2 linked regions of the Lytechinus pictus genome follow. The protein of the gene in region 1 purifies or fractionates together with the protein of each later gene. This does not show direct contact. Links are inferred from orthologs where the notes say so. Each region holds a gene or a part of one and is shown on either strand. Other genes may lie near its edges. The genes, in order: ribonuclease P protein subunit p21-like and ribonuclease P protein subunit p30-like.

What was found.
Region 2: the proteins of ribonuclease P protein subunit p21-like (region 1) and ribonuclease P protein subunit p30-like purify together in Homo sapiens (co-immunoprecipitation; 3 studies listed by BioGRID and IntAct, counting the BioPlex papers as one, with this or other methods). This does not show direct contact. The link is inferred for Lytechinus pictus from reciprocal best matches to the Homo sapiens genes RPP21 and RPP30.

Annotation. Positions count from the first base shown.
Region 1 is NC_087248.1:14,445,754-14,460,781, forward strand, and holds ribonuclease P protein subunit p21-like, read left to right. Parts: upstream 1-8,854; coding exon 8,855-9,217; downstream 9,218-15,028. Other genes in the region: transcription initiation factor TFIID subunit 13-like, read left to right, coding at 2,941-2,979, 6,495-6,591, 7,015-7,112, 8,391-8,555; uncharacterized protein C6orf118-like, read right to left, coding at 14,600-14,657. UniProt on the Homo sapiens protein: Component of ribonuclease P, a ribonucleoprotein complex that generates mature tRNA molecules by cleaving their 5'-ends.
Region 2 is NC_087256.1:15,066,658-15,083,849, reverse strand, and holds the start of ribonuclease P protein subunit p30-like, read left to right. Parts: upstream 1-8,869; 5' UTR 8,870-8,943; coding exon 8,944-9,028; exon of another isoform or gene 9,029-9,113; intron 9,114-15,447; coding exon 15,448-15,506; intron 15,507-16,272; coding exon 16,273-16,323; intron 16,324-17,192. Other genes in the region: kinesin-like protein KIF20B, read right to left, coding at 622-849, 1,879-2,023, 2,479-2,687, 3,058-3,316, 4,040-4,276. UniProt on the Homo sapiens protein: Component of ribonuclease P, a ribonucleoprotein complex that generates mature tRNA molecules by cleaving their 5'-ends. Also a component of the MRP ribonuclease complex, which cleaves pre-rRNA sequences.

The sequences.
Region 1 (15,028 bases):
TGCAAAAAAAAACAAGAATGAAAACAAAAAAAGGGGAAACATACATGAATTAAATCTACCTCAATCTAGTAGAGAAATGACGAAGTTCATATTATTACTCGCCCGATTCCCAGGGCCATGTATAACTGTGGTTGTTCCAAATTAATGGGCCATTAAAGAAATAAATGTACAGTTCAAAGGACTTCGCAAACATTTGGATGAACTTTTATCTTGTAATCAGGGTAATATATATTTAATAGATGTCTCTCCATTGCTGTTCTATTGAAAAAGAGCAAATACTGACCTTGAACTTTAGAAGTTGTTGAACTCGGTATTCTAAAACTGGGAAAATGTTTGAAAATATACCCAAAGCAGTTACGCCTTCACAATGTACGTATTCAAGCCATCAATGCGAAATGATGTGTTTGCATTTTTATCTTTTACTTTGGGAATATTGAGACAGTCCTATCTTATGATATGCCATTCGCGAATTATTATATAATCATTAAAATATCTTTTGGGGGCAGATTTGCCTGTATGTTTGTGGCATAATAATGTGGGCACGATTATAAAAAAAAGTGCTTCTCTTTTTCCAGATTTATTCTATCGAAATCAGTTTAAGCTTCGCATTTGCGTTTTTGTTTAGTGAGCGACGAATCGTAATAGGTTTAAAAATGGAAATAAATTAAATATGTATACTCAAAAGTTTCAACTCCCATTCTCATTATTTGTGTTTAATGTGATATATTTTTCATGTTAAAATTATAAAAACATTACTGTTAGTTCTTTACTAGTTCAAAGGTCTTTTGATGGGGCAAGGGATGCTGTAACTTTTTATAAGCATATTATCGTCTTCACCAAAAAAATGTTTTTAAAACTGAGTATATGCTAAACTCTTATATATGCCTTGAAAATGCCTTAAAAATGCCTTAGGATTTCGAGGCTTCAAATCCTTGGGGCCATGGCCAAGGCAGACCGAGATATAGACGGAGAGCTGCAGTCTCTTTTCAGTCAGGTTTTCTTTTTTTTTCCACCTGACTAATCCCCCGCGCGCTTACAGCTTGCATACAGACCAGTCTTTCCACTAAGGAAATTACCCAAATTCCGGTTCAGTAATCCGGATCATCATTCAGGTAAGTTTCGGGTAAGTAAAAAATTCTAGGTAATTCCGTGTAATCCGAAAATTACAATTACACAACAATTAAATGGCGAAACTTTTAATATTTATGTTATCAAAGAATTGTTTACCTCGATACGAAGCCCAAAATTTTCCGCTCGCGCTCCGCGCTCGCATTTCGTCGATTTTGTTGAACAATTAATGTTATATCCTTTGATTTTGGTCACTTGGACTGAATATAGGCTGGCTGTATTATTGCCCGATTTTTGTTAAAAATCAAACTTGAAACTACCAAAAAATATTTCTGAATTTTTGGGGAATTTGGGATTCAGTTGTGGGGAAAATGTTTTAGATCTGAGGAGACACTGATGCAGACCATACAGGTGGATTATCCACGTCACCTCAATGACCATTTCAATGCTTTTTAGCCTTTATTCAGATAATATCACATTTTTCATACATATTTCATTTCATTTTCATAAATTAAATTTACAAAATGAAGTGAAGTACATGTATACAGCAATAGAACAAATGAAATATTATACATTGTGATATACATTTTTAACAAAGATTATCATAACCCATAATACTTACAAAAAAAAGTTCATTTCTCTTGTATTTACTGTATAATAATGCGGTATTGTATGATGAAAAAATCCAAACAGAAAGACTTTTCAAGTTCTGAGCAGATAATAAAATTGATACCGTATATAAAATAATTTGTTTATAGAGATGTGAATTATATAGGCTATCCCATAATAAAATATATATATTTATACCTCTATATTTTGCAAGACAATACAAAAAAATAAGTGCCTACGTTGATACTTGGAAAGTGTACAACAATCTGAATAAAGATTTTATACATTAAACATACACAAAAACAGAACAAACATATGATGCAGACCTATGTTGCAGCAAGGCCCTATATATGAAGAGCTCACTTGCATAAGGGGTTAGGTCAATTTTTCATCAAATTTGATTTTTTTTCCTTTTCTTTTCTTTTTTTTTTTTTTTTGTCTCAATGTATATATAGATTTTTAGTAGCTCTATAAGATCATACCAAAGGAAAGTTGAAATTCCCATTAAGAACTGAAATAAAATGGCCAATAAAAATCACCTTTTTTCAAAAGGGGTTAGGTCCATTTTAGTTTGGTTGCAAAAGGGGTTAGGTCCACAGAGATTTTTTTTGGAAAAAAAAATATTTTTAAAAATGTGAAGACAGGTAGATTTCTTTCATACCCAATTTTATGTTCTCATGGTAGGGTATCATGAAATTAAGTTTCGCCGAACAATATTGCAATATGGGAGAATTAAAAAATGATTTTTTAGTTGGAGTGGACCTAACCCCTTTTGCAACCAAACTTTTCTGAAGAGCTCATTTTTCAAAAGGGGTTAGGTCCATTTTTTTTTTAATATAAATTTTATTATTTTCTGTCTCAAAACCTCTAAATTTTAAGTCGATCTGATGATACTAAAGAAAATTTGAAATTTAAATAAAAAACGTGAATAAAAAGTGTCAATGCAAAATCACTTTTAATCAAAAGAGATTGGATTCATTTCAGTTTGCTTGCAAAAGGGGTTAGGTCCACAATTTTTTTTTTTTTTTAATATATAGAAAAAAAATTGGGGACAGGTAGATTTCTTTTATACCAAATTTTATATTCATATGAAAGGGTAGTACATTATGATAATTTAGTTTCTCATAAGAATATTAAAATAAGTGAGAATAAAAAACTTGTTTTTCTCGGAATGATCCAAACCTCTTTTGCAACCAAACTCTTCATATCGTATCTCTGTGTGTGTTGCAGTTACACACGCCCTCTATCGTCATTTTTACAATAATGGCTGAATCTTCAAGCGCTGCTGCTTCCAATTCAGAGGTTTGTTTTTCGTTTTGTCACAATGATAGTGCACTATTTACTATAATCTTTTGCGCATTTATTTATGTAAGATGTATTTCTATATTTCAGGGTAAAAGTATTTCGTATTGTTACTTTGGGAGGTCGGTAACGGTAATGAAGTTAACAAGTTATATTTTATTGTATGTCCCGTATGCTGCAAAATTTGTTGGGTTTTGTACTTTTGTTGCCAACAATGTTGGATTTTGTACTAGTCACTAGTAGTAGTACTCACTGTACGATCCATGATATTTCTATATATATTTCAGGATCAAAGTATTTCATATTGTTACTTTGGGAGGTTGGTAACGGTAATGAAGTTAACAATTATACTTTATCGTATGTCCCGTAGGCTGCAAGGTTTGTTCATTTTGTTGGATTTTGTACGATCCATGCAAATCATGATATTTATAGGCCGATGCAAGTTTTTTTTTATCCAAGTCACTCATTCAATGAACAAGGTTATGATATAACCTTGTTCTCAGTTATATCTCCATGTGTGGCAAAATAAGGGTGGCAATGTTTGGCTTATTTTCTCTTTTTCTTTGGGACAAATGCTTGATTTTTTTACACTGACAGTTTCCATTAGGGCCTACACCTATTCGTCATACAACTTGGTTCTCTTATTAAATTTGATTCTTTAAATTATTTTTTTCTTAATTAAAAATAGAGATTAAAAAAATAAAATTTTCTTGCCATATTACTTTCTACCAATAGAGGGCGTACACAAAAATATGCCCGAAATTCAAGTTTTTGAGCGCTCTAGTGAATACAAAAATTATTCCCCAGTTACTAATGAAAAATAAATTGCAACTGTATGGAAATTAGTAATTTTGGTCTCAAAAGTGATATTTTAATGATTTTTTAAAGTACGCGCGACCCACTAGTTAGGAATCCACTGCCAAACGCGGTTCATGGTGCGAGGTTAGTATAACTTCGCAATACATTTGAGTGAGACTTTCATTGTGTTGACCAAGTGTAAAATGATCAACGATCGTTTTTGATTAAAATGTTGCAACATCCTGAAAGTCTCCTGATGACATTTTTGATAATCCTTTTTAGACTCGGGATAATTGCAGACCACTGACTCGACTGAAATAAATACAAATGTCTCAAATTGAGCTCTAAATTTATATGAATGATGATGTAAATTATTGTTAAATTATTACGATTTAATAAAATTTTAAGGCCATACTAAAAATATTGGTAATGTCAGCAAAGTTATGTTAAGTTGGAATATGGAAGTACTCCGGACGTCTCCGAGATAAAGAAGTACATCGCGCATGCGCGATTGATAACATAATTTTTCATTCATGAATAACTTACTCTGCTATGTCATGTAAAATTGTATTCTATAATGATATTACGATCGTGAGAAGAGTTTCTGCAACGACGATGTTTGAAAATCAATCCTGACATGATATAATTTTATTTAGACAAGTGCACCCATCACTCGTTACGGAATTCGTGATGTCCGTCATTAAAAATGGAAACGTAATACAAATTGAATTGAATTACATCAAACTCTAAATTCATATTAATGATTATCATTCGCAAATTATTGTTAAAATATTAAGATTGAATAATGTTCTATGGTCATGATAAGAAATATTGTTAATGAACGCAAGATTTATTTTACGTTGATCCCGGCGTTGATTTTCCTTTCAGAACAATTTAGATCTGGTTTGATTAAAGCACAATGCGCATGTGCGATCGATGACTATAAATTCCATTCATGAATTCATCGCACAAATTATCTCGGCACGAAAAGACGAGTGAGACTCGAATTAGGATCAAAATAAACTTCAAATTAATGGTGAATAGGCATCATAATTATACATGGTTTCATTTTAGGGAAATAGAAATCGAGTAATAGCTATTAAGGCGCGGCAAAAAGCACATAGCTTGTTTTATCAATCATAACGTCACTGCATCGTATGTAAACTTCGTGAACGCCCACGCCCCAGGTGGGCCCAAGACAGATTTCATTCATAAAAAACTGTGAGTGAAATTCTAGCGCAAATACAGAACCTCAAGGGTGGGTATGAAAGTGGAATTTTAGTTATTAATACTTGTGCAGCGTCTGAGAACTTGGAATCAATGTGAGGCTGTCAGCATGGTAATAGAATTGTGTTCAATTAAGTAATTGTTCACTTGTTTACAACTCCCACGCAAGTTTTATACAGATGTACACGGTGATGGAATTCAGTACACATGCACTGACTTGACCGGGCGTGTACATGTGTACCCAAAACGGGCCTAATATAGAAGGCAGCACACGGCCTTTTGTTGCTGCCCTCTACGTTCGAAGATGTACAGCACGAAATCAAAATGGCAGATAGGCAAAAGATGTTGACTGCTCAGAATGATGTCCAAAAAGCCCCAAATTTATCGATAAAACTTCATCCAACCCTAAAATAATGCAAAAGGTGAGGATGTATTTATGCTAAATATGTTTGTGTAAAGATGTTATGTAACCATTTACATCCGATGAACACGGATTTTAAAGCATTCTTGGTACAGTGGCTGTACCTTGGAGAAAGCTATGGCTGGTCCGAAGTCGTGGTCAATCTTGACCACCGCAATTGCCATCGGCCAGTTTTCATAACAAAGGGAATAACCATCAGTCCTGTTAATATGATATGTATGGATTAAAATAGCTTGTGCAAAATAGTTGCAGGGTGGAAAAAAACCCTTAAGCGGCCGCACACTGGTGCAGATACTCTACATATGTATACCAACTCGAGTAATGCGCCCGTAATTTGATATGACACATGTGCCTCGAATCGATCTCGATTCAACATGTCAAACTTATTTCACATGCAAGCAGTCAATCCCGACAACACACACTAAAGCTGTACCCTTCTGGACAATAGGCTAAGTCAGTGATAACATCTAATTAATGCCATCAACACATGCGGGAAAGGCGCAAAAATTGACCTTCGTTTTTGCTGGACAGTGTAGTTCACCAGTAGAGGCGCTGGTCAGAAGATTGGGATCGTCCAAGTTCACAGGGACTGTCTCAGTTTTCAAAGATTTCTCCAAACATGAAATCTACGATAGTTCATTCACCAGTCAAGTGCCGATACCAATCTTAGACATATCAGGTTTCATAACAAGATTAAATTGGAAGATGGCAAGTCATGAAAAATAGACGCTGAACTGGGGGAATCGAGGTCACTAAATCTGTTTTTAGCACACTATATCCCTGTAATTGCTGTCTATATCCCGCAGGGGTAAGTGAAAAGAAAAAAGCTGTCCCCATAAAGAAGGACAGTCTCTATTTTTCAAGATATTTGTCTTGGTTTATTAGGATGTCCTTGGTTTCTGGGACAATCCCAATTTTTGGACCAGCGCCTCTACTGTTCACCGATGAACTGAAATTACAGAGCTAGATCTACATGTACCAGTATGGGATCTTTCCCTCCACATGCATCACACTGTCATTTATAGAAAACGTTTTTTGTTTGCATTTTGATTATTCTCTCCTGAAACAGGAAACTGAGGATACCCAGGACTTCGATGGGCAGGAAGTTGATCAAGAAATTCCTGCTGAGAGTGCCGATAAGAAAAAAAGGTTCTTCAACAAAGAATGTAAGACTTTTTTCAGGCTTTCCATCCTGTTTTAGTTCGCAAGATAACTGAAGAACCCAATTTAGCAGATAAACTTAAAGCTTAGGTCATGTATCCACCTTTTTTTTCTAATTTACATGTACATCCTCTAGGGCACATGGCTAACTTGCCCCACCTGGATATGCTGGATATTCCATACTTTTAAAACATTATATATAGAAATAGTCTGCTTCAGCATATGGAATATATATATATATATATTTGTCTATTTATGTATATATATCAAATTGGAGAGAACTGAATTTTTCAAGATTGAGATAGTATTTGCCAGTCTCTAGGAGGTATCAAAGTATAAATCATATATCCATATATATTTTTTTATCATATTACAAAAAAGCAATGTTTACATCTCGTTCTTTTTTCTTCTTTAATCTTACTGTGCAGTGAGATGTATGATGTATGGCTTTGGTGATGATCAGAACCCATATGCTGAAACTGTGGATCTACTAGAAGATTTAGTTCTTGGCTTTATTACAGATATAGTAAGTGTGCTATGCATGTTGCTTTTGAAAATAAATAGAAAAGAAAGAAGTGTGGACAGGGGTGTGAGAGTTCAGATTTTTATCTGATTTCCGATTTTTTTTTTTTTTGGTTTTTATTTTCAGCTTAATTTCAGCTTATTTTTGGCTTTCCTCTGTGCAAAAAGTATGGGAGCTCTTTCTTTTTCAGACTTTTTCAACACTCTTCAGCTTTTTTCAGATCTTTTTATTTGTGACCACTCACACCCCTGAGTGTGGATAAAGTGCATATTCCACAAATGTTGAAGGTAGATTTTTACAAGTATATAGGCCTACTAAACGTGATAATGATGGTATTAATAGTCATCGTATTTAAAGGTCAAGTCCACCCCAGAAAAATGTTGATTTGAATACATGTAAGTAGAGAAAAATCAAACAAGCATAACGCTAAAAATTTCATCAAAATCGGATGTAAAAAAAGAAAGTTGTGCATAATTTCACAAAACAGTTATATGCACATCCTGGTCGGTATGCAAATGAGGAGACTGATGACATCATCCACTCACTATTTCTTTTGTATTTTATGATACAAAATATGAAATATTCTAATTTTCTCATTGTCAAGGGAAACAACGACCAATTCCTCCCTGAACTTGTGGAATGAGCATTGTTCAATACTATATGGTTCAGTCAAGTTGGTCCTTATTGTCAAAAACATAAATAATGAAATATTGTATAATTCAAACAATAAAAAACAAAAGAAATAGATGGACATCATCGACTGGCCCATTTGCATGTCACTGAGTTGTGCATATCACTGTTTTGTGAAAAATAAGCGAAACTTCAAAATGTAACTTTTTATTATACATGTACATCTGATTTTGATGAAGTTTTCAGCATTATGTTTGGATTTTTCTCTATTTATTCAAATCAACATTTTTCTGGGGTGGACTTGACCTTTAAATTAGAATGTCTGTAATTTAGATGCAACGGTCTTTGCTTTAATAAGCCAAGAGAGTAATAACTACATGTACTTGAATAAATTTTCAAATTATATTTATAAAGATATGCATTACCCAGGAAAGCTTGCCAACTTTTTTCTTTAGTCTGTAAGAACTATACAGATTTATTTTAGTAACTAGACTATGCTTGTCTTTTCAGAGGTACAATACATGTTTTGCATTATCCGCCCTTAAAATTACTTTAAATTGTTATTGACTTTTGGAAAGTACTGCATGCAGTAGAGTAAATAATAATTCCATGCAGCATCTCATTCTCTTCCTTCATGTTCTTTTCAATCAGACCCTGAAGTCAACCCAGGTAGGCCGACAAGGCAGAGTTCAAGTAGAGGATATCATCTTTCTCATCAGGAAAGACCCTCGCAAGTATTCCAGAATCAAACAGCTTCTACTGATGAATGAAGAACTCAAGAAAGCTAGGAAGGCATTTGACGAAGCCAATTATTAGTGAAAATGTCCTGTTGAACTGTCAATCATAGAAGATGATATGGGTACTAGGACGGAAGTTCCGCTACTTTAGGAAACTGAGCAAAGGACCCATATCTTAGATAATTTTTCTGGTGATTCGACAGCTGTGAATTGTAAGAACTGAAATACAGCGAGATAGTATTACATGTAGGAGTTTGTTTTATTGGTGTGGAAACTATATAAAGGTTACGATACAGTGGCTTGCAGTACATATTTATCGCTGCATTTCTTGATGACATCCTTAGATTCGGAACCTTCGAAGGATCAGCCTTGCCGAGGATGGTGAAAAGATGCAAAGGTGACGCGGGTCACCAGCGAATGAACTACCTGTACCAAGCAGCCCACTGCACCCTGGCACAGAACCCTGGGAACACTCAGCTGGCCAGGTTCTACATCGAGACCATGAAGAATGTAGCAGCAAAGCTCGTGCTAAGACTTGATCCTCATATCAAGCGTACTATATGCAAAAAGTGCAGTTCCCTTTTGATCCCTGGGGTCACTGCTACTGTCAGGGTCAAAGGTCGTAGGCAGAAGCACGTGGTAGTGACATGCTTAGATTGTAAACAAGTCAAGAGGTTCAATACGGATGAAAAGCATGTTCTGTGGGCACATAAAACGGAAGCCATTCAAGACAAGAGCTGATAAATCGGCTTTTAAGTGTAGATTGCCAAAAGAAACTCGTGCTAAGAGGATGCGCGCTACTGCGTACTAATCAATAAGATTGTGCACAACATATCATGTGCACGGCGGCATTTCTGCACGACTCTAATTCACACTTATTTGAAGTTATTTCTTTGTGACCAACATCCCCCCCCCCCCCCTCCCGGTTATGTAAAGAAAGTCGAAAGTCATAGGTAAAAAGCTGTGACTTGGAATATTACTTTGTGTAAGCATGAATTATTTTCATCTGATTTCTTTATAGAATGTAAGTTTTGGTCCCAGTTCATAATTTAATTCATTTAAAGGGGTACTCAAGGTTTAACATCATATGATTTGAACAGATAAAGAAAAATCAGACAAAACACTGATCATTCGATCAGAATCAGACAATGAATAACAAAGTTATGGCATTTTAAAGATTTGCATTATTCTAATGAAACAGTTCTAGGAATGTCTTTATAAATATTCAATGAGCAAACTGATGATGAAATATCTCTCTTGTTCTTTTGTATTTTATTGTTTGAAATTAGGTTTATTCTTTTTTTTCCTCTAAGAATTAAAAAACAGTTAAACTGACAACTGATTCAGTGCATTAGATATTCATTGCTGCAATTTATTTCATTATAAGGGAGACATATCATTCACACATGAATCAAAATATTGAAACAATTGTGATTTCATGTAATAACATAAGAAAAGGGAAAATGGAGATGTCATCAGCCCACCTAATTAATATTCATGACGATCTGTTTTCACAAAATATTGAAAAATTTAAAATTCAATAACTTCATTATTTGATATAACAAAGTTACGATGAAATCTGATAAATCTTCAGCCCAGAGCACCCCTTTAAACTGAGGTTACAAGAGTATCTTGCTATCCTATCCTTGTAGAATTGGGTTCTTAGGATGGTTTATAGAGCTAAAATCAGTTACACATGACATTACACATGTTGGGAACATGGTAATAAACAAGACTCGGTTATTTTGTTTGAAATTATTGACCAGCATCCAGATGCTAAGTTCACTTTTAAACATTTCATTAATATTATCATGAATTGATTCCCTTTTTGAAAAATTCAGCCTCAAGGGAGCCATACATGTACCATAAAACTGTTAGTTACAAATGGGCATTTTCATGGTAACTGACGTTACACGGCACAATTTTACACCTTTCATTGTGAAAAGGTGTGTAAAATTGTGCCGTGTAACGTCAGTTACCGTGAAAATGCCCAAATGCTTTTACGAGTGACTGGTAATCCTTGTGCTCAATGAGTTTTTTCTGTTTTAACCTAATTGGTATAGATCTAACTTTCTATGACCCATCAATCTGATTTCGCACAAGAGAAGGATAGCAGTCATGCATAACTTATGAGAGCTTTATGAGACACACTGAAGTAATGTTCGGAGTATTCATGGTGAGATTTTGATATCCTTGATATTGATTTACACAGAATCACTGCTGGTGGGAGTTTCATAAACCTGTTTGCAGGCTATGACTGACTTTAAGAACGATTGGTGATCCTTCCTTGTGGCAAGCGGTCAACACCAGGGCCCCCGTATTACAAAGAGTTACGATTGATCCAATCAATCGTAACTCTATGGAAATCCATCAGTGTCATAATTTTTCTACAGGACTTTTGCACAATGTCCTTTGAAAAAAAAGAGAAGCATACTGAATTGTCAAGAAAACAGTAAATGTATAAATATACCAATAACTAGAAAATATTTTGAAGAAACATGTATTTTAGATGTTGGCGTTGCTGGCTTTCCATAGTTGTGATTGATTGGATCAATCGTAACTCTTTGTAAGATGGGGCCCAGGGCTCCGTAACACAATGGTTTGTAATCAATCGCTGAATACCAATGACCAATCAAGATCATCGTTGCATGCATACTCTGTTTAACATACTGACCGGGAGCCAATGAGTGCGGTTCTTTCATATTTGCAGTTCATGGCAAACCTTTGTGTTACGGAGCCCTGATCTCCATTGGCGCTGGGTTAGTTCCTAATTTAGGGTCTTTTGTTTTAAATCACTCAAAACTTACGAACAGCTTTATTAAACACCCACCCGCTGTGGTAACAATCATTAATTACAATTTGTATTAAAATGGTCCTGGGCCCCGTCTTACAAAGAGTTACGTTTGATCCAATCAGTCGTGATTCTATGGAAATCCATCAGTGTCATAATTTTTTCTACAGGAAATTTGCATCATGAGCTTTGAAAACAAAGAGAAGCACAGTGAATTTTAAAGAAAACAATGAATGCAAGATTATACATCATAGTTAGAAAATATTTTGAACGAACGTGCGTAATAGATGTTGACGTTGCTGGCCGTCCATAGTTGTGATTGATCGGATCAATTGCAATTCAGGCACCATTGCATCCAATGATTTATCCATGATTGAAGGCCATCAAAGCCATGGCTGTTGATGAAATTTCCACTGTGCTCAGTTCCCCTCCAATTGACCTTTGGAGTTCTGGGGCCCATTTCATATTAAGAGTTACATCTGTTGTAACTTTGCCATTATGGCAACTACCATGGTAACCTTGATTATGATTGGCTGCTGAGTACTGTTACCATGGTAGTTGCCATAATGGCAAAGTTACAATAGTAATAAGATCTTTATGAAACGGGCCTCTGATATGCCCTTTAATTTGAGTTTTCAATTTGTGCTGTATTATAGAAATGACCCGACAGTTGTGCTAAAATCTGATCAAAAATTTAAAGCATGCAGCTACCATGGTTGAAACGAAATGGAGCAGGGTCATTATGCATTAAGAATTTATAGTTATGGTAACTTGGCTATTCGATGTATTATTAACTCCATGTACATGTAACAGGACTCGGCAGCATATCAAACAAGGTTTCCATGCCCCAATAATTAAAAGGCACAGTTTGGTACAGCAAACAATTACAAGACATACAATTAATTTCACGGTATAAAGTTGAATTGTTATTGATGTCCCCAATTAAAATGTGCATGAATACCTTTTAAGCAGTGAAGCCCTAGACTACAAAAGATCTTCCATATTTTTATGTGGTCTCCATTTTCTTGTAGTGCAGGATACTCAGAGTGGCTGTACCTTGAGGATTGTAAATGAAACTGTAAAGTCTTAATTTTCTGATTCATTTTAAATTCTTAATTGTCTGATTTCATTTGAATTTGTGTGTGTAGATGTACAGAAGTGATTATCATTGTACATATTTCCATTAATAAACATCACTACAGCAGACATCCATGAAAATGGTTGATTTTGTCATGTCTATTGAGCAAATGCATGAATGAAAGAGGAAATCAATTCACAAATCTATATATAATTTTAATTTGATTGACAAAACATATATGTAACATACATTTTTCTTGGAGGTTGGAAGATAAATCAATAATTATAATTGAATAAATATAAATGTATAAGAGTTTCACCTCTGATTATGATACAATTGAAAATCCGTTTCAATAATCTAAATCATTCACTTTGGAAGAGATTAGCTACCAAATCCTCTGAAGTTTGGAAGAGAAAATCTGTCTCCTATCTGATTTTAGAAAACAAAAATTACAATTTGTGAAGACTTGTCTTCACGACATTCGTTAACATCCATTTGACCTTTTTTAAATCTTAGCTGTAACTTTGTCAGTGACATGTTGTATAAACGAAGCCCTGTGAACAATTGCACCTGAAAATCAGTATTTAGTCATTCAAAAATTGAAAATTCGCCAAAGGACCAAACATATCATCCCAATTCATTCCATATACTGCATGTGTTTTTACAATTATAACCTCTGGCAGAGAAATTAGACTTTTTCTTCATAGCTGTTTCATCCAATCCATATGATAAGTACATGACATATACAACACATGACAAAGTTCAGGATTTCGTTCACAAGACCTTTGTCATATCCAATGTTTTTAACCCAATCAGTGAATAAAAATCCACAACAGTTGACTGTTCCAAAAGTCAATATGGTTGGATCATAAGGTGTGCAGAAGGCTTCATTTTCTTGAACTGTATTGCTTGACAAAAAATGAAAATCAAGAAAAAATATATTCTGGTACACTTCATGCTCTCAGCAGACTATAAATACTGTACATATGAAATACATTCTTGAAAAAAAAACAATCTAGAAGATCATTAAATAGCACAAATATTTATGGTGGGTTTAAATAGAAAGAAGACGATTTCAATAACCTGTTCGCTACACATCTGTGACTAAGTTTCAAGGGCCTTAACATCCCAACTTTATCATTCCAATCATTGAAGTGGCCATTGACTCTTCTTTGGATACAATTAAAAATCCATAGAAAATCCTTAGTAAAACCATAGTAAAAATTCAATTTTGAATTTTTAAGGTATCTAGCACTCTCTTCTGGAATGTTTTTGTTTTTCTTCAAACATGGCTCATTGAACACTTACTAGACAAATGGTGTCAAAGAGGATATTGCCTGACAAAAATGCATGTATGTTTCAGGATATACCATTACTAAAAAAGTAGCCACGAATCTACTGGCCTGTGGTGACCTGACTAAAACTAGTACAGGCTAACTACCCAGGGGACGTGGAAGCAGGGCACTTTTTTTGCATGGTCAGCCCCCCACTTTGAAAACTATTCCACGGCCCCTGCTACCTATAGGGTTTTCAAAGTTGAATAACATTGACCAAGTCAGTTGAGTTCTGTTATTTATGGTAATTTCTAACTGGGGCTTCAAGTATGCTTAACAAAAGATAAAGTATGAACTGACATGGCAATGCACTTGGCTCATTGCATGATCAAATGAAGAGGTTTTTATCCCTATTTTATAAAGCTGGGGTATTGTTCTGAGGTGGAATTCATCCATGAGACTTGATGTTCCCTGGTCGGCTTTAGTCATCTCATGCTGCACCTTCTGGAATGTTCAGGCATACTCTATTCCTAACAAGATGGCCAAGAATGGACTGTACATGGTGTGAGGTGTGCTGCCATTGGTTCTACAAAAAGCAGTTCAGAATTCATGAACCACAACAAGATGAACTGTTGGAATGATGATAATACAAACAAAAGGCCAAGAATACAGTGTTCTGGAGTCAGTGTGAGGTGTGCTGCTCATTAAAGCTAATACAAGGGACCATGTTTCCTTGATACAGTCAATGCTCTAGTAAACACATGCTGCATTACGTGGAATGCTGTAAGGATACTCCATAATCCCAAAGATGGCTAAGAATACAGTGTTCGGAGTCGGTGGGATGTTGCAACAGAAATACATGGAGAATGCATACTGATGATCGAGTTCTCACTGTTCAATTCATCCTTTCAAAACAAATCCTTAGAGATGGTCAGTACCTCAGCATCTTGGGACAGGTGACAGCATGTCTCCTGGAACACTCAGAATACACCAGGAAATGGTGCTGACCCTACAGTGTTGATGCTCTTCCAGATGGCTCTGCAAAGGGAAAATGAGATCATTTGTTTAAAAACATACTGTAAGATAACATTACAAGTGTATGGTAGTAGTAGTAGTAGTAATCCAATGTCTTGACTCCAGCTTTGTTCCCACGGGCGGAGGTGGCTAAATTTACCTCATGTGGAGTTGCCCTTAGGTAACTTGTCAAAAGTAAAAACTGCATCTTTCAACCAACATCATATGTAAATTTCAACCAACATCATAGACAAAAGAATTGGGAATGCAGGAAAGCCAAGATGAAAAGACGTAAAGTGTCTTTATAGTTGGATTTCAGCCAAAAGATGCAGCACAGACTTTTTACAAGGTACCTTATCCCCTCCCCTATGACTTTGCCCAATACAAAGTATCCT
Region 2 (17,192 bases), on another chromosome or scaffold:
AAAGTTATGATGGTAATTCAACAGATACCCCCAATATGGCTAAAGTTCATTGACCCTAAATGACCTTTGTCATGTGACGTGAAACTCATGCAGGATGTTCAGTAATACCTGATTAACCTTATGTCCACGTTTCATGAACTAGGTCCATATATTTTCTAAGTTATGATGACATTTCAAACACTTAACCTTAGGTTAAGATGTTGATGTTGATTCCCCCAACATGGTCTAAGATTTGGTGTTGACGCCGCCGCCGCAAAAGCGGCGCCTACAGTCTCACTCTGCTTCGCAGGCGAGACAAAAAATCTATGGAGATTTCCTATTGCTGGTTTTGTTGATCTAATTCAGTGTATTTATGCATTTTATGGAGAGTTTGTGAATTTAGATCAGTTTGCCTATTTCATTTATCTACATGCATGTATGTATTTACTCTCATAACCATTATGATATTGGCACAGGTAATAACAATCAAACAGGGGGGATCAGTGCAGGAATTATTTACATGCATTTTTTTAAATATTTATTTGTATGTGGGACAAAAGCTCCAATTATGAAGAGGAAATGGGTTGTACTTGAGCAGTTACAATATACCATACAAGTAACTATGAAGGATGAAAACCGTACCTTTGATATAGATGCTCCCATTTTTGTCTTCGGCAAGCTTGAGCGCCTGTCTCCTGATTTTCTTCTCCTTCGGTAGGGGTTCAAGGAGGTCGTACATGTACTCATTGTAGATCTCGGCAAAGGACACCCAGATGCTGAACTTGATGGGGCCCTGAGCATCCACGTTGACCATGGTATCATCAGGAATGCGTGCGTTGACCTCGTCTAAGAATGTCTGGTTGCCCATTGCTGTAGAGAAAAGGTTTATAGAAAGGACAAACACAATGAACACAGATCACTAGGCAATTCTTACGCTCTAATTTGACTATTTTAAATGAGGTAGTTACCACAACTTTATGACTTTAACAGCTGAGGGGGGGGGGGGCATTGAAAAAACCTGTCACCTCAACATTTTCTGTGACCATTCCACCGCACGAATTCTTTTTTACATCGCAGCTGGCTGACTTTATACTTTCACATCTTGCACATTGTTTGAGACCAAATTAGTGATGCCCGGGTATGTGGTTCCAAAATAAGGGAAAATTTTGTCAAGTGCATGCCTGACTACAAATTGCTTCAAAATAGTGGAATTTTCTCATCAAATTCATAAAGACATGTTTATTTTCACTTTCACCAGCTAGCTGAATTGATCTTAACATAATTATGGTTCCAACTGTTTTTCCAATAAATTTGGAGAAAAAAACCAAAGAAAAACAAAAGGTTGAAAATCAAAGAAATATATATATTTATTTAAAAATGTTGGCGACCTAGCTCTCAAGGGGGTTATAAGGTCAGAGAACAGCCAAAACACCCAGACTAGTCTTTGTTATGATGGTGTCAACCAAGTTGCTGGCATATCTGGTGAGACAATGTACAGTACAAAGCAGAGGTGCCAAAATAACTCTATAATGTATGCCACACAACTGTTTTATTAGAAGCCTTCCCCTCCCCATTAAGAACATTCACTCACACATTCTTGTACATGTATAAAAAGTTTTGTCATTGGTGCAGTATTGAAGCTTCAACATGATCATTCGTGAGTATTAAAATATGCTGCGCACCCTGCAGTACTTAACAACATGATTCAAATAAGAATAAGGAATACATTGAAAGCAGTCAATACCTACATAGAACATTATTACTGGCTATAATACTTGGATAAAAATTCTGTTCTCGTTTGCTGATCCGGCAATCTAATTAAATTTCTCACGTAGGTATCGCGACTATCGCCGAACTTTGATATCTTAATTCATGGCTAGTACTGTACTTCAGTCTTACCCTCAATGTCTCTGGTAGTGGACATCTTACTCTCTGAGAGCTTTGAGGAGTCCTGGGAATCATCATTGCCGGCAGAATAGGATGCATGTGATATGTCCGTGTTCAGGCTATCATCAGTCATGCTCTCACCTTCTAACATTGTTGTCTAGATAGGAAAGAGTTGTTCAAAGGTAATAACAATCGTGATGGATTTGTTGTACAATAACAAAAACAGGGTGGATGGACAAGGCATGGAAACATTTGAAATGAGATTATTTATTACCAATTTTGCACATCTTTAATAGTAAACAATCAACTTTTGACCTAGAGCAGACCTGCTTACAGATTTATATCAGACTGGCAAAAAAAAAAAGATACCTATGCAACTCATAATTGTTCAATGAATTTTCATGTTTACTCATTTCATGGAAAATAAAGTAGCTTTTTAACTAGATTACATAGTAAATAAAGGACAGGGAGGTAGGACGGGGTGGTCAAATTAACCTTTAACAAATAAACTGAGAAATGTCCCTCAGCCAATAAGATGCATGAATTTGAGCAGCTTTTAACAGTTGTTGATAAAATCTCTGACATTTTGCTTGATGAAAACGATCCTGTTACCTGATCTCCTGCTCCAGTAGAAGGAATATTTCCCAAAGCAAGCACTTTTGATTTCACTTCTTCCTCCTTCTTCTGCTGCCTTTCAGAGAGTTTCACTACATCGCAGAAGTAGCGTGGCTTCACTCTGTTTGATAGGTACTGGCGATCTTCAATGCTGTTGAAGATGACGTCCAAGGAGCGGGGTAAAATCCCACCATCTTGTGGAACACCTGGTTATAATGAAGTAAAATGGAAATGTAAGATAATCCAGCTCTTTCCCTGTTTGAAACTTTGTCCCTTTCCTCATTTTCCGGTTTCTTACATTTTATGTACAACCAATATATTTCTGTTCCGTTTATTCATCCTGTTTAATTCTTTCCATAACTAAGATCTTAACAATTTTGTAATTTCTGTTGTTGACGATTCACTTTGATGTGAGCTAACTTGCAAGAGTTTACAGACATTATGCAAAACTCATAAAGCAAATCATACACTTATTTCAGCAATGCAATTATTAATGACAAAGAGACTCTTCAAATGAGAATAACAATCATATAAATTGTGCAAGGGCCAGATTAGTTAACTCAAAAGTAACCAAACCTTGGATGGTATATGTCTTTCCAGCATTGGTTACCCCATAGGTGAAGAGCAGGCAGTTGTGGCCATCGATGAAGTCTTTGACTGTTGCGAGCATGGTCTCATCAAAGAACATCTTCTGACTGGTATCTTCATTGAAGATCTTTGAGAAAGTGAACTTGTGGTTCATCTCTCCAAAGCCGCGCTGGCTGCTCTTAAAGGCAAAGCTGTTCTTGGGAGCCCTCATCAGGAGAGTGGTGTTGTTTTCCTGGTCCATGCATTCCTGAAAAAAGATGAAGACACACATTTGTCCTCATTTGTAATTTACCTTTTCTTGTACTTCTCTTAGTTCTCTTTACTTTTATGTTTTGCTCTCTTCTAAACGCCTGGAGCATTTAATCAAAATGGAAAAGACGCTATATAAATCATATGTATTATTATTATAATTATGTATACACAATTCAATTGGGAAATTAGAACCTTATTCTTAAAGGTAATTTAAACAGAGGGTGGTGGTCTCTTGGAGACAGAGGGAAAGTGGTAAAACTTTATGCTCCCTACATAACAGGTCTGAGGTATATGGCAGAATTACCTTCTTAATTGTTAATACAAATATATTGAGAGCCCAATCAGATTCTGAAATCCATTCATTTATGTACCAAGTCTAATAAAGTTGAACTGGTTCATCTACTAGTATTGGATCTGCATGTGTAAAGCGGAGTTGGTGCAACCAAACAAACCAATTCTTGAATGTTTTTCTCAGGACCATATTTAATTTGTCAGAACAGAAAAAAAACACCAAAAGAATGAATAAATAAATGAAAAGTCTAGATTGGTTTTATCTAATTGAATATTTTTAATTCATTTTTAAATTGCTGTGCGATATCCCAATTAGAGCAAGTTCTCTTAGTTATAGCATGAAGGAAAACAGTATGCATGTACTACCAAAAACAGAATGTTGCCAGCAACCACCTACAGTTGGTGGAGGCCTAAAAACATACTGTACCTGGGACTCGCCTCCTTCAACCTCAGCATTAGTGAAAGGCCTCACTCTTAGATAAACCTTCATCGGTTCCCTATTGTGAGCGACGCTAACCCTGGCAATCTTCATGGGCGTGGCCGACGTGAATTCTGTAAAGAGGTCCTTTTTTATGCTCTCCTGGAAGGCTAGCAGATCTTCCTCCTCTTCAACAACGTCCTCCTCAGTGTCTGAGAAGTTACTGGAGGCTGGGAAATCACTCATGTTGCCGATACTGTCCTTCCCCGTTTCACTATTTTTTAATTGAAAATTAAAAAAGGATACACCTGTATGTCAAATTGCATTTATGTTTGTTCAACTGAATTCAACTATAAAATATAAAGCAATGATATAAATTTAGGCCTTGAAGCCTTAGATCTATTCTGATTTCTGAAAGAATAAATTGTGACAAAAACGAAGCACAAAATCAAAATACGACATTTTCAACATAATTTGACCTGCACATCACTCTCCTTCTTTGCTGTAAGTACAGGTCTGGTATACTTCCATACTCATGTGCAGGTATCTGTAGTTTATGTACAGTGTCTCAATAAAAGGTTCTACAATACTATGTGCAGCTGCATGTACATGTAAAAACAAGACATCTGTGAAAATTAAATAATTTGGATTTTGAGTACATGTACCTCTCTTTCTTTTTTTAAAAAACATAGAAGAGAGGTACAGGAGACAGCGGCCTGTGGTAAAGCATTCCACAGCCTGGCCAGCGGTCGCATCAGGGAAGAAGCTTTTTGTATTGTCTATATCACTCACTTTATGATAGATAACAAAAAGTATTCAAGGGTAAGTCCACACTCACAGAAATTTAAGAGGGAGGGCAAAAAAATACATCATCAAAATTGAATGTCAAATGAAAGAAAGTAAGTTGGTCAAACTTGGGTTTCATGGACACAATTGATAAGAGTCTTGTTGGCATTATCACCCACTTTTAATTCAAAATTGTTTTTAACAAAATATCACCCTAGTTTCATCATTATTTAGTTGTGAGGTTTTCCATCTACATTGGTGATAAAAAAATAAGAACATTTTTTCTGGTTCACTACATTTTACAGGTGCAAAACTGAACAAGTGCCAAATCTCTAACTGTTAACCCTAAAATGGCCGGGGGGGGGGGGGGTTGAATCAACCCCCCCCCTCAACATTTTCTGCGATCATTCCGCCGCGCGAAATTTTTTGACCGCGCCACTAGCAGAGTTTATACTTTTAAGTCTCGCGCATCTTTTGAGACCAAATTTATGACACCCGGGAATTCGGTTCCGAAATTACGCAACATTTTGTAAGTGCATGTCAGACCAAAAATTGTTCAAAAACGTGATTTTGTGTACAAAGTCAATGCAAATTGAGTTTTCTCATCTTATTCATAAAGATATGATTATTTTTACTTTAAACAGCTGAAAGCAATTGATTTTAGCATAATTATGCTTCAAAAAGGTTGTGCAATAAATCTGGTGAAAAAAACAAAGAAAAACAAAAGGTCAAAAAACAAAGAAATACATAAGAAATTCATAAAACAATAAAATACATAAGAAATTGATTTCCAAACCGAAGTTTTTTTCAATTGCCATTGTTAAGAATACTACAAAGAATATTTTTACCAAAAATTAGCATTCTAGGAGCTTTATTTAGTGAATTAGAGCAAAAAGTATGATTTATGCATAAATTAGCATAATTAATTCATATAAAATAAAATCTCATTATTTTGGAAAATTTTACCATACAGCCTTGTAGATTACATCGCACACTACCAGCATGCAAATTTTTGCGGCGCTCGCGCGATCGGTGGCCGAGATCTCAGGGGGGGGGTTGAATCAACCCCCCCCCCCCCCCCCCCCGGCCACAGAACAGCCAAAAAAGCCCGGCCTAGTTAGGGTTAAAGAAGGTTTACCTTTAGAAAGTAAAGGAAAGTTTGTTGTAAAATATCAGAAAACAAATGAGAAAAAATACTGGTAAAGTTTTGATGAAAATCAATAAAAAATTAATGGGACGCAATCCCTGGCTCCGTGGACAGTAAGCATACGTTAGTAAATCATTTTTACACTCTAGGAGCCTCCTAGCTATGGTTAGTCGTGCCTTGATTTTCCCGTGCACAGCGGCATGTAATGAACCCTTGAGTGCCACTAAGCTAATCCTTTTGCAGCAAATGTAAACAAAGGAAATTGGTCTCCCAACTGGAGACTGTCTCGGAAATTGGATACCCAAATTCTTTACAAGTCTGATATTGGAGATAATCTCTCTCATGGGAGACAGTTTCCCATCCCATATGGCATAATTATTGGCCATGCACCTCTACTGCTAACCAAACTGGATTTTAATTTAGTTTTCGGTATTTTTGTAGCGGGACAGCTTTGCAAGACGGCCGGTGGCCGCCCACTGTCTTGCGCTGCCCACGTTCAAAGAAAGACGGAGCCGAGAAATGACAAATTCGAACAAAGAGATAAAGTAAAGTTGTGTATGTGTTTATTCAAAATCCATGTCAAATCAACAAGCTGATATAGTATAATAACGTCCCATCTATGGGCTGGGCGACCGCAATTTGAGTACAATTAAGCCGACATGGCTAACGGCAGCAAAACAAATCGTTAACGAAAAGAACTACCCCGCCCGACCTAGCACACGCCCATTTTATACTTCTTGGCTCAAACACCACGTGGAGAGAAAACCCTTCCCCAAATCGGTCTTATCCCTTTTGGTGCAATGCGCCAAATTAATCTGCCTGTAATATCAATGTATAAAATGTAACTAATTAATGATTCCAAATTCAAGTTCTTCGGCTTTCCATTATTCTTCCCTCTTACGTAACTCTCTCTTCACCACTCCCCCAACTGCTCTCTCGATCAACTTGTCCCCCTCTGCGACTCTCACACTTCAACCACTCCCACTACTACAGCTCTCTCATCCAATCTCTATACTTAATTCTCTCGTTCTACGACTCGTATCTTACAACTCAGTTATCTCTCTCACCTGTTCATTCTCTCTCTCACCCTCTTTCTAGCCGCTAAAGAATGCAAGCGAGCCATAGAACACGAAATGAGCAGAATAGAAAAAAATTCATTGAGCCCCGAAAAATACTAATTCTAAATCCCAGGCAGGCCAGACAGCCTAACAATTAACCAAGCCAGTGTGCATTCTTTTTTACCTTTCTACATAAAACGTGCCAGCTTGACCCAGAATTAAAGCTGACAACAGAAATTTACACATTTTATGGAATGTAAACAGTGCAAGAAAGAACTTGAACTGAACTGAAGCCAGGCAAACAAACTTTTTAGTAAATTTTACCAAAAGGCAAAACTCAGTCTGTTATTGTTAAAACATTATTAAAAAACAAACAAATCTCTATTTTCCACCCCGCTGCAGCTATATTTTCACCATTTCTTTTGTATTTTCTATGCGCTATCAATAGTCTAGACCAAAAGCTTCAGTCTCTGTATTTTGGTTGTTCCGCTGAACTACGTTGGCTCCACTCACCATACATAGACTGAAGGGGACGGGGCCCCGTACCTACAGCCAACGTATAGTGAACTAGCGTTTTATAGATCGCGATTTAAAACTGTTTTTTAAGCAAAATTGAAAGTTTCATGGTTTCCATTATCAGGGAAATATAAATAACTTAAGTAATTGCATACCTTGGGCCGGAGTTATTGAAAAAAATCCTCTGGATGATTGAGAAATCTGTCATCTAAGACATTTTCACCTGACCTGACGGTTTTTCTTGCAAGTTGCCATCTTGAATGACGTCATTATCGTTATTAATGTCTCGAATCGATATATCGCGATTATAACTAGTACTAGTACTAGTATAACTAGTATCGTTTATCTTCGGTTTCGTTCGCATATGGAGCAGATCGTATAATATCGAAAGCAATATCGATATCACATTCGTGATTGTTGACGTTCGTTTGTAAATATTTTATAGTTTGGCTGCCATTTTGACCATTTTTATCGTGTTCAACCCAATTAAACATTGGTAAAGTATATTTTTCATGCCTTTTTCATCTATATCGTTTAAAGTATTTAAACATTGAAATATCAAGTTTTAAAAGTTTGTTGTTTATACATCCTTAGATTGTAAATTCGATGTGTAAAATTACATCAAACTTTGGACTGTGAATTGACAAAAGGGAGGGAATGAGAACACATGCGAGCCCACACGTACACCCTACCGTCGGTAAAACTAAAATCTAAATGGGGATTACAGTAAAATGTCAGAAATTGTTGAATAAATCCCCAGAAACGACGGTTATTCCTGTCTATCAATAGTCACACTTTTGAAATGTAATCATACACAAATTCATCACATTAAGAAAAAAAACCTCGCACAAAAGCATTGCATGAAGAGTGGCCATTTATGATACAATCGTAAGTAAATTATTATGCACACAACTGAATTGGTGATATCATGGTTCCTTGATACGCGTATTCATATAGCACATGAACGACAACACCATCGGCATCGCATTAAGTTTAACAGCATCCCAGGCGAAAATGAATCTGCCACAAACATAAAAACGGTACAACTACAACCAGAAACTACACTTCACTCACCTCACACTATTTGACTTAATTACAAGGCCTTACTTTAATGTTAAAAGATAGATAGTTGAACAAGCTTACCATATAAGATGATATTTAATTTACTAAATGACTTGGACTTACCTGAGGCTGTACTGATGATGTACTTGGTCTTGGCGATTCTTCGAATTTGACCGGTTCGAGCGCTCGCGAAGTACCTTATCCAATCAAAACACGGGGTTGTCATTAATTGCGGCGAGGAGTAACGGGCAAAGTGATTGGTCGATCGCCATCCACGCAATGTAACGTAAACAAACATTATTTACCCACGTGTGCATGTATGGAAGTCGAATTCAATCGAAAACATGACGCAATTTTTTGACCTAAATTTGATAGATAATCGGTTTGACGAGAAGAGAAAACAAAGAGCAATCGCTAGAGCAGCAAGATGTAAGTATTGTGCATAATTTTCTCCTTAAGGCTTAGTCGCGCGCAGGTTATTCTTCCATCAACGCCGGACGCGGACACAACTCAGTCTCAGAGTCAGAGTCAGACTCGGCACGGGGAACTTCCCGCCGAAAGCAGCGGCGGATCTCGTTCGGCTCGCGCTCGTGCACCTGGGCCGGCCTCCATGATGATGTTTTTTAATATTTTGACATATATTCTTCATCATGGAGCCTTGACGCTCTTTCCATAGACGCAGAAGCGAGACCTTGACACCCGGATGGATAGTTACAGGGTGAAATCGGTTTGTAGTATTGTATTTGTAAGTAATTTGTACGAATTAATTTTATTGATATTTGAAGTTTAGTTTAGCTTAATTCCTTACCTTGACTTGAGTTACCTTGAGTTACCTTGATGGCCACATCTCACTGTCTTCATGACGAGGGTGTACAGATGAGTGTGGCAGGGTTAAGGAGCCTTAAATCAATGACAATGCCTAATTAGTAATGCGTATGAAGGTTAAAAAAATTGGTTAATAAAAAAGTGAAAATTTTAAGGTTTCTTACCTGGCCTAGCCTGGAGGCTTCTCGGGAGTAAAATTATTTCTACTTGAATTACTTATGATATCCCTGACTAGAAAGTAATGAAAAGTCTGAATGCAAAGACTATCACAAAGAACTGCATACATAGTCATAATTAATAGCCACGATTGTGTAACAGTGACGTAATTGCAAACACACAAGTAAAGTTATGAAACTTATATTTCAAGCCTAGAAGTAACTGAGTTATTCAGTCGCGTGAACTATGAAGTGGCATGTCTGAGGAATGACTGATATGATAATGATTTGGACTGATTCGAAATTTAGTCTTTAGAATTAGATGTTAAATTGGCGACCCTGCCAAGATTTTGAATCGCCACGGAACCTGATGGATGTGTGCCCAGCCATCGCATTGCCCAATGGTGAGTAGCTGTGTCTTCCTGCCGCAACTTCCCTGTTCGTTTTGACCCCACTTCGCTGTAATAGTAAAACTTTTACGGAGATTTCTTTTGTGACTATATGGTGAGAGAGTACAATAATGGCTACTGGGCAGAATCAAAACATAACAGTGGTTAGTGAAACAAGAAACCTGAAAACTGGTCCATTTACCCACCCGGATAACCAACTTTCGATTGGGAAAGCTTGGGAAGAATGGTTAGAAGACTTAGAAAGAAAATTATTCAGGTATTTCCGGATAGTGAACCCTGTTGACAAAGCTGATGCACTAATCATCTATGGGGGAAAGGATATTGCCAGGTTAGCAAGATCACTCCCAGACCCAATAGAAACGGATGTTAACAATCCAATGAATGAATACCAAAAGCTAAGGAGGAAACTTGATGAGTATTACAAGCCTAAGAAAAACCAGCATCATGCTCGTTACCTGTTCTCGAAAACAAGAATGCAAGAATGGGAAATCACTGCTGCCTATGTTGCTCGTGTTCGGGAAAAAGCTGTAGAGTGTGAATTTGGAAGTTCACTGGAGGAGAGGATCCTAGAGCATTTGATTCAAACCCTTAAGAGCACATCTCTAATTCAGAAGGCAATCAGTAAAGGGTGGAACCTGAACGAATTATTGAGTGAAGCCACGCAGAAAGAAGATGTTTCGCTTCAAGTGGCAGACATGAGTACGCAGGATGTACGTAAAGTTGGAAAGATGTACCCAAAGTCAAACAAGCAGAACCAGAGAGCCTGTTCATTTTGTGGCATGATTGACAAACATCCCCCAGGGAAAGATTGTCCAGCTTATGGGAGGCAGTGTAATAAATGTCGCAAATACAACCACTTCGCCTCAGTGGGTAAATCAAGTTCCAACTCCAAGGTAAAATCAGATGACAAAAAGAAGGCAACAAGTTCTTTCAAGGATGGTAAAGAAAAGAAAGGAAAACACATAAGCTTTGTCAAGAAAACTGCCAAGAAACAGGAAGGAGATACAAGTTCTGATGACGAGTTTATGCAACACTTGAGTACTAAGCAAGCCAAAACAGTTCGAATTTGGAAGATAGGAATCCAGGACAAGCATGTCAGCATAAAAATTGCTAATCTAGATGCCAAGGTTGAAGTAGATAGTGGTTCCGAGGTCAACCTTATGGATGAGCACCAGTTTAAAGCATTATCTAACAGATCCGATAGAGAGTTGAAGTTACATCCCACAGAGGTTAAACTCAGTGCATTGACAACTGAACTTGATGTCAAAGGAAAATTCACAACAACTGTGGAGAATGAAACCTTAGGTATAGAAAAAGAATTTTATGTGATAAGAGGGAAGATAGACAGTGTACCACTACTAGGAAGAGTATCCGCAACCAAACTAGGAATGTTGGAGATAAGACCCAATGGTACTCTGCAAGCCAAGAAAGTTAGCAAGCCACCAGATTCTATGGATGAGATAATCAAGAAGAATGCTCAGGCATTCAAGGGCATTGGAAAGATACATGACAAAAGAAGCAACAAGGATATTTATGCACATTTCCATATGAAAGAAGGAGCAGTGCCAGTTGCTCAAAAGCCACGCCCTGTTCCATACTATCTCCAGAAACTGCTGAAGGAATGGTTAGATCACTGTGTTGCTGAAGACATATTTGAGCCACTACCAGAAGATGAGCCGGTTACATGGTGTTCACCATTGGTGATACAACCAAAGCCAAGGTATAAGGACAAACCAAAAGAGAGTCTTACACAGAACATGATAAGAACAAGCATTGATCTAAGAATACCAAACAAAGAGATGGAAAGGAGCAGGATAAACCAAAATCCTGTGGTAGAGGACTTCATCCACAAGTTTCATGAGTGTAAAGTCTTTTCCAAGTTAGACGAAGAATGGATACCACCAGTTGATGCTCGCACCATAGTCCAGACACATAGCAACTTTCAGCACCCCATGGGGAAACATGAGGCCTAAAAGACTGATCTTTGGAGCAAAATCATCACAAGACCTGTTTGATGAAACAATCACTCGCATCTTTGGAGATATCCCATAATGCCTAAATCAAAGAGATGACATCTTGATAGGAGGTAAAACTCTTGAGGAGCACGATGCAACTCTAGAACAAGTCCTGAAGAGAGCTACAGATTTCAACATCACTTTCAATTCTGACAAGTGTGAGTTTGGAGTAGACCAGCTAGAATTCTATTGCTACCTCTTCACCAAAGATGGACTAAAGCCAACTGAAGAAAAGGTCAGAGCAGTCAAGGAAAGCTCACAACCAAGGTCCAAGGCAGAAGTGAGAAGTGTTCTTGGTGTGATCGGGTATTTATCCAAATTTATACCCAGATATTCTACTCTTACTGCACTGCTGAGTGAACTGACCAAGAAAGATACTAAGTTCGTTTGGGGAGACGAAGAGGAAAATGCGTTCCAGAAACTGAAGCAAAGTATCACAAGTGAAGATACTATCACATACTTTGACCCCAATAAGCCAATCATTCTGAGAACAGAAGCAAGTTTCAATGAAGGCTTATCAGCAGGATTATTCCAGCAAACTGAGAAGGGATTGCAGCCTGTACATTTTGCCAGTAGAAGCATGACACAAGCAGAGAAGAAATATAGCCAAACTGAGAAAGATGCTTTGGCTATAAAATGGGCAAAGAACAGATTCAGAGTGTACCTACTAGGAGCACCAAAGTTCAAGATAGTCACAGCACACAAGCCATTGATTCCAATGTTCAACAAACCCACAGCAAAACTGCCACCTAGAATTGAGAAATGGGTGATGGAAATGCAAGATGTGGATTATGAAGTAATCTATGAGCCAGGAAGAGATGAAGTTGACCCACTGGATTACTTGTCCAGACATCCACTACCAGAGACTGATTCAGATGACACAGAGAAAGTAATCAAGCAGATCATAGAAAGTGAACATGCTATAGTCATAGACAGAATCCAGGAAGAGACAGGAAAAGACAAACAGTTGCAGAAAGTGAAAGAAAGAATCATGAATAATGATTGGTGGGAATTCAGGAAGGATGAAGATATCAAACCATATTACCCACTTCGTGATGAACTATACATTGCACAAGATGTAATCTTCAGACTAGAATGTATAGTGATACCCAGGTCCTTGCAGAAAAAAGTGATCAAGAAAGCACACAAACTAGGTCACTTTGGCATAACAAGAACCAAGCAACTACTGAGAAGCAAGTACTGGTTCCCGGAAATAAACAGAATGACTGAGGAACACTTGAGTCAGTGTTACGAATGTCAAGTAAATACAAAGGATCACAGGGAAGAACCTGTCAAGTCGACTCCGATCCCAGAGAAGCCATGGGATATAGTCTCAATGGATTTTGGAGGTCCATATCCAGATGGTCATTATAATCTTGTTGTCATTGACAAGAGAACCAGATATCCAGAGGTTGAAACAACACGATCAACCTCATTTCAGGCCACCAAGACAAAACTAAAGAGAATCTTTGCTACGCATGGAGTTCCCAGAAGAGTTGAAAGCGACAACGGACTGCCATTCAATTCGAAAGAATTCCAAGATTTCGCAAAGGAAGAAGGTTTTGAACATCACAGAGTCACACCAGGCCACCCAAGAGCAAACGGCGAAGCCGAAAGCTTAATGAAAGTGCTTAACAAGACAGCAAATAGCACATCTCCAGAAGCAGGATCGAGAGATTGCTATACAAGATATGTTGATGGGTTATAGATCAACACCACACCCAGCAACAAGCACACCACCATATGAAGCACTGATGGGCAGGTCAGTTAGATCCAAACTTGACCACAAAAACCCAAGAGAAGAAGCTAGTATGAAGGATGAAAAGATCAAAAAGAAAGATGGTGAATACAAAGAAAGAGGAAAAAGGTTACGAGAGAACAGAAACACCAAGACACACAACTTTGTTGTTGGTGACTTCGTATTGCTACGCAAGACAAAGAAGACCAAGTGGACAACTGCGTATGAACCAGCATTTTATGTTTTATTTAGAATCGATGGTTCATCAATTGCAGCACGCAGAATATCAGATGGAAGAGAGATGTACCGAGATTCACTTATAACATTATTTTTACACGAAAAATAATACAAATATTAAGAAAAATCATGTATGAAGATGAGCAGATACTCACCGATGATCTTGTCGCCATATTTCCGTCTTTGTTCGTAGCCTAGTTACAAGACGCGTATAAGAGAGGGCGACGATATCATGAGCAGTGCCATTGCCAATGAAAAAAAAATCTTCAATTGGCCGATGAATTTGGCCGTGAAATTTTACAATTCACGATATTCATCAGCCGATTGAAGTTTTTTTTTTTTTTTTTGGCACTGCTCATGATATCATCGCCCTCTTATACGCGTCTTGTAACTAGGCTACGAACAAAGACAGAAATATGGCGACAAGATCATCGGTGAGTATCTGCTCATCTTCTAACATGATTTTTCTTGATATTTGTATTATTTTTCGTGTAAAAATAATGTTATAAGTGCCTAATGTGGGGAAATGAACTTTTTTTCCATTTACAAAATTGTGTGATAAGCAAGTTAAACAAATCAAGCATTTTGGAGCAACATTGTTGTCTCCAAATACTCGCCTGTGTGTGGGCCTATGCTTAGCCCTACCAGGCTTCATGGGGAGTAAGCCTACGTATAGTAGAAATAATTTTACTCCCCAGAAGCCTCCAGGCTATTCTTAACTTACCAGAATGACCTCGTGTAGATCCCTCGATCCGTTTGTCAACAAAGCAAATACAATAGGTCTGACCCTTGAACCGCTTCATTCTGGATCTGGATGTGTACGATGCTGGGCCCTCCTGGGTATAAACGCATCGGGTGACGTACATTCGATTAGCGATGTTACAAAATGCCATTTTGAAGAACAATTTATAGATACAAATTATTATTTAAAATAATACTAAAATTTAATACGTGATTATAAATAATTATTATAATGATAATGATTATTTAGACTAACAGACGGAATGGCATTAGACGAACCATGTGGGGAGTGGACGAACTAATGGTAGACCAAATGATAGTAGACAAGTTTGCAATTGACGAATTGGCATTAGACGAATAGGAAGTTAACCAATTGATAGCATGTTTCATAAAATTAATACCTACTTTTTTAATGGAAGTTTTTTGTTTCCGCATTTTGTGCATGAGCAATTACATGTATGTTAGGAACAGGTATAAGATGTCGAGTTCCCTTCTAAGGTCACTTCCCCAATAAAAAACCCCAACTTGTTTGGGTGGAGAGTCCCAGCAAGTGTCTACACTATGCCCCTACAGGGGAGATCCTGGGAAATGGGGAACAGTCTGGAAAGGGTACAATGTATTAGTTACAAGAATGTAGTTTCACACCCAATATTACAAATATCTTGACATGGACTTGATTAAGAGTAATTTGTTTTTCATTTTGATCACCTCCCCCGCCCCCTTCCAGTGGGATATGAAGTGGTTGCAATTGATCATAGGCAGAAGAAGCTGGATCGCAAATCAAAGGTGAGTTCTGTTCTTGAAATCTAATAATATATCAGACTTAAACTCCACAATTTAATAAAACAATAAACAGCTCTTGTATAGCGCATATCCCATAACTTTTTAATCCTCTGGTATGTAGTTGCATTGGTGATATGACAAACTGTATTGTTGCATTCATTGCAGTAAACGCACTGTATATTTTAATATACAGTGTGTCCTATCAAAACGGACACTCATATTTTCACGGATAGATACATGTATCCCAACTATCAAATGTATTTTACACTAATAGAATCGGAGCAAACTTCTCTTTAGTTTAGTCCAATTTCTTAGTGGATATGTCACACATGGGATTTTATTCATTTTGATTAAGACAGGCCTGGCAAAACAATGTGTGCAGAAATTCATGCCAGAATCTGCATCCCCAGTCATTTACAGAGTCAATGAAAGAAAGTTAAAGAAATTAAGAAAAAAAAACACAAACGAAATGCCATCCATTTCCAGCTGAAGATGTCGTCTGACTAGTTTTTCATTGCAACTTTATTTTGACATCAAAATTCAAACTTTCTTTCTCCTCAACTTGTAATTGTATCAAAAAGAAGGTTATTTATGTATCTTAAAATGTCAAAATTAACTTGCCTTTGTGTAGAATAAGAAAGGAGAACCTCAATTTTCTTTTTTGTGGGGTTGCTCAGAATAATGGAAGGGGTTGGGTGGCCTTCAGCCCCAGTGGTATTAATTTATTTTTAACAATGGTTCTTTTTAAATTCTAAACATCTCTCCATAGATCCCAAGTGCCCCTGAGAGGTCAAAGCATGTTGAAAGTGACCAGCTAAAGGTAGGTATGAGAACAGCAAAAAAATACACGGGGGCGGCGGGCGAATTCGCTCCGGAAATGCCTAAAGTCGCCCTCGAAATCACCCAAAATCATGCTTTCGGGGGTGACATAAAATCTTAATGTCGCCCCCGAAATTATTGCCGAGCGATAACAACTCAGCGGCCCACGAGCACCATATGCTCGAGCTCTGCTTACCATTTAAAAATAATCAAAAATCCGCACTCAAAATCATGAACAAGCCTTGGAAATAGCGAGAAGCACAGTTTCGAATTCTGAAGTTGCGTCTTTTTTTCTGTACCACGTTTTTCCATGCACATGGTATGAAAAAAAAATCAACGCAACGGTCGGGAAATGGTTGCATGTATAGGGGTCCATTATGACTACCACCATTTGCAATTTCTAATGCACATTTTCCCCTACAGATATCACAATTCTGTGATCTTATTTGCTAATTATAACTTGAAAATCATTTGTTTTATTTTTCTAGGGGATGAGGTAAATATCAGACAATAAATCATCAAACAGCTCCATCTATTTTACAAGGCCGGCGGGAGGCTCACGCATGTACGCTGCCGCATTGGCGCTTGTACTAGCTAGCCAGTCTCTGGGGGACAATTCGCTCAGTAAAGGCCACAATGATGGTGATTTTCTGTTTCAGACAGAGTTTACATTTCGGGTATATTATTCAAAACTGCCAATAAAGTTTGATGATTTCTTCATTGTCATGTACATGTATATTTAAGTTATTAATGAGTTCATTCTCACCAAATTTAGACTCCCCCATAGAGAAATGCAATTTTCGTGGAGATCTGCATTTTCAAAGATCTTCAGGAAAAGTTAGGGTATGTGGGCCTTTATTACATGGCCGG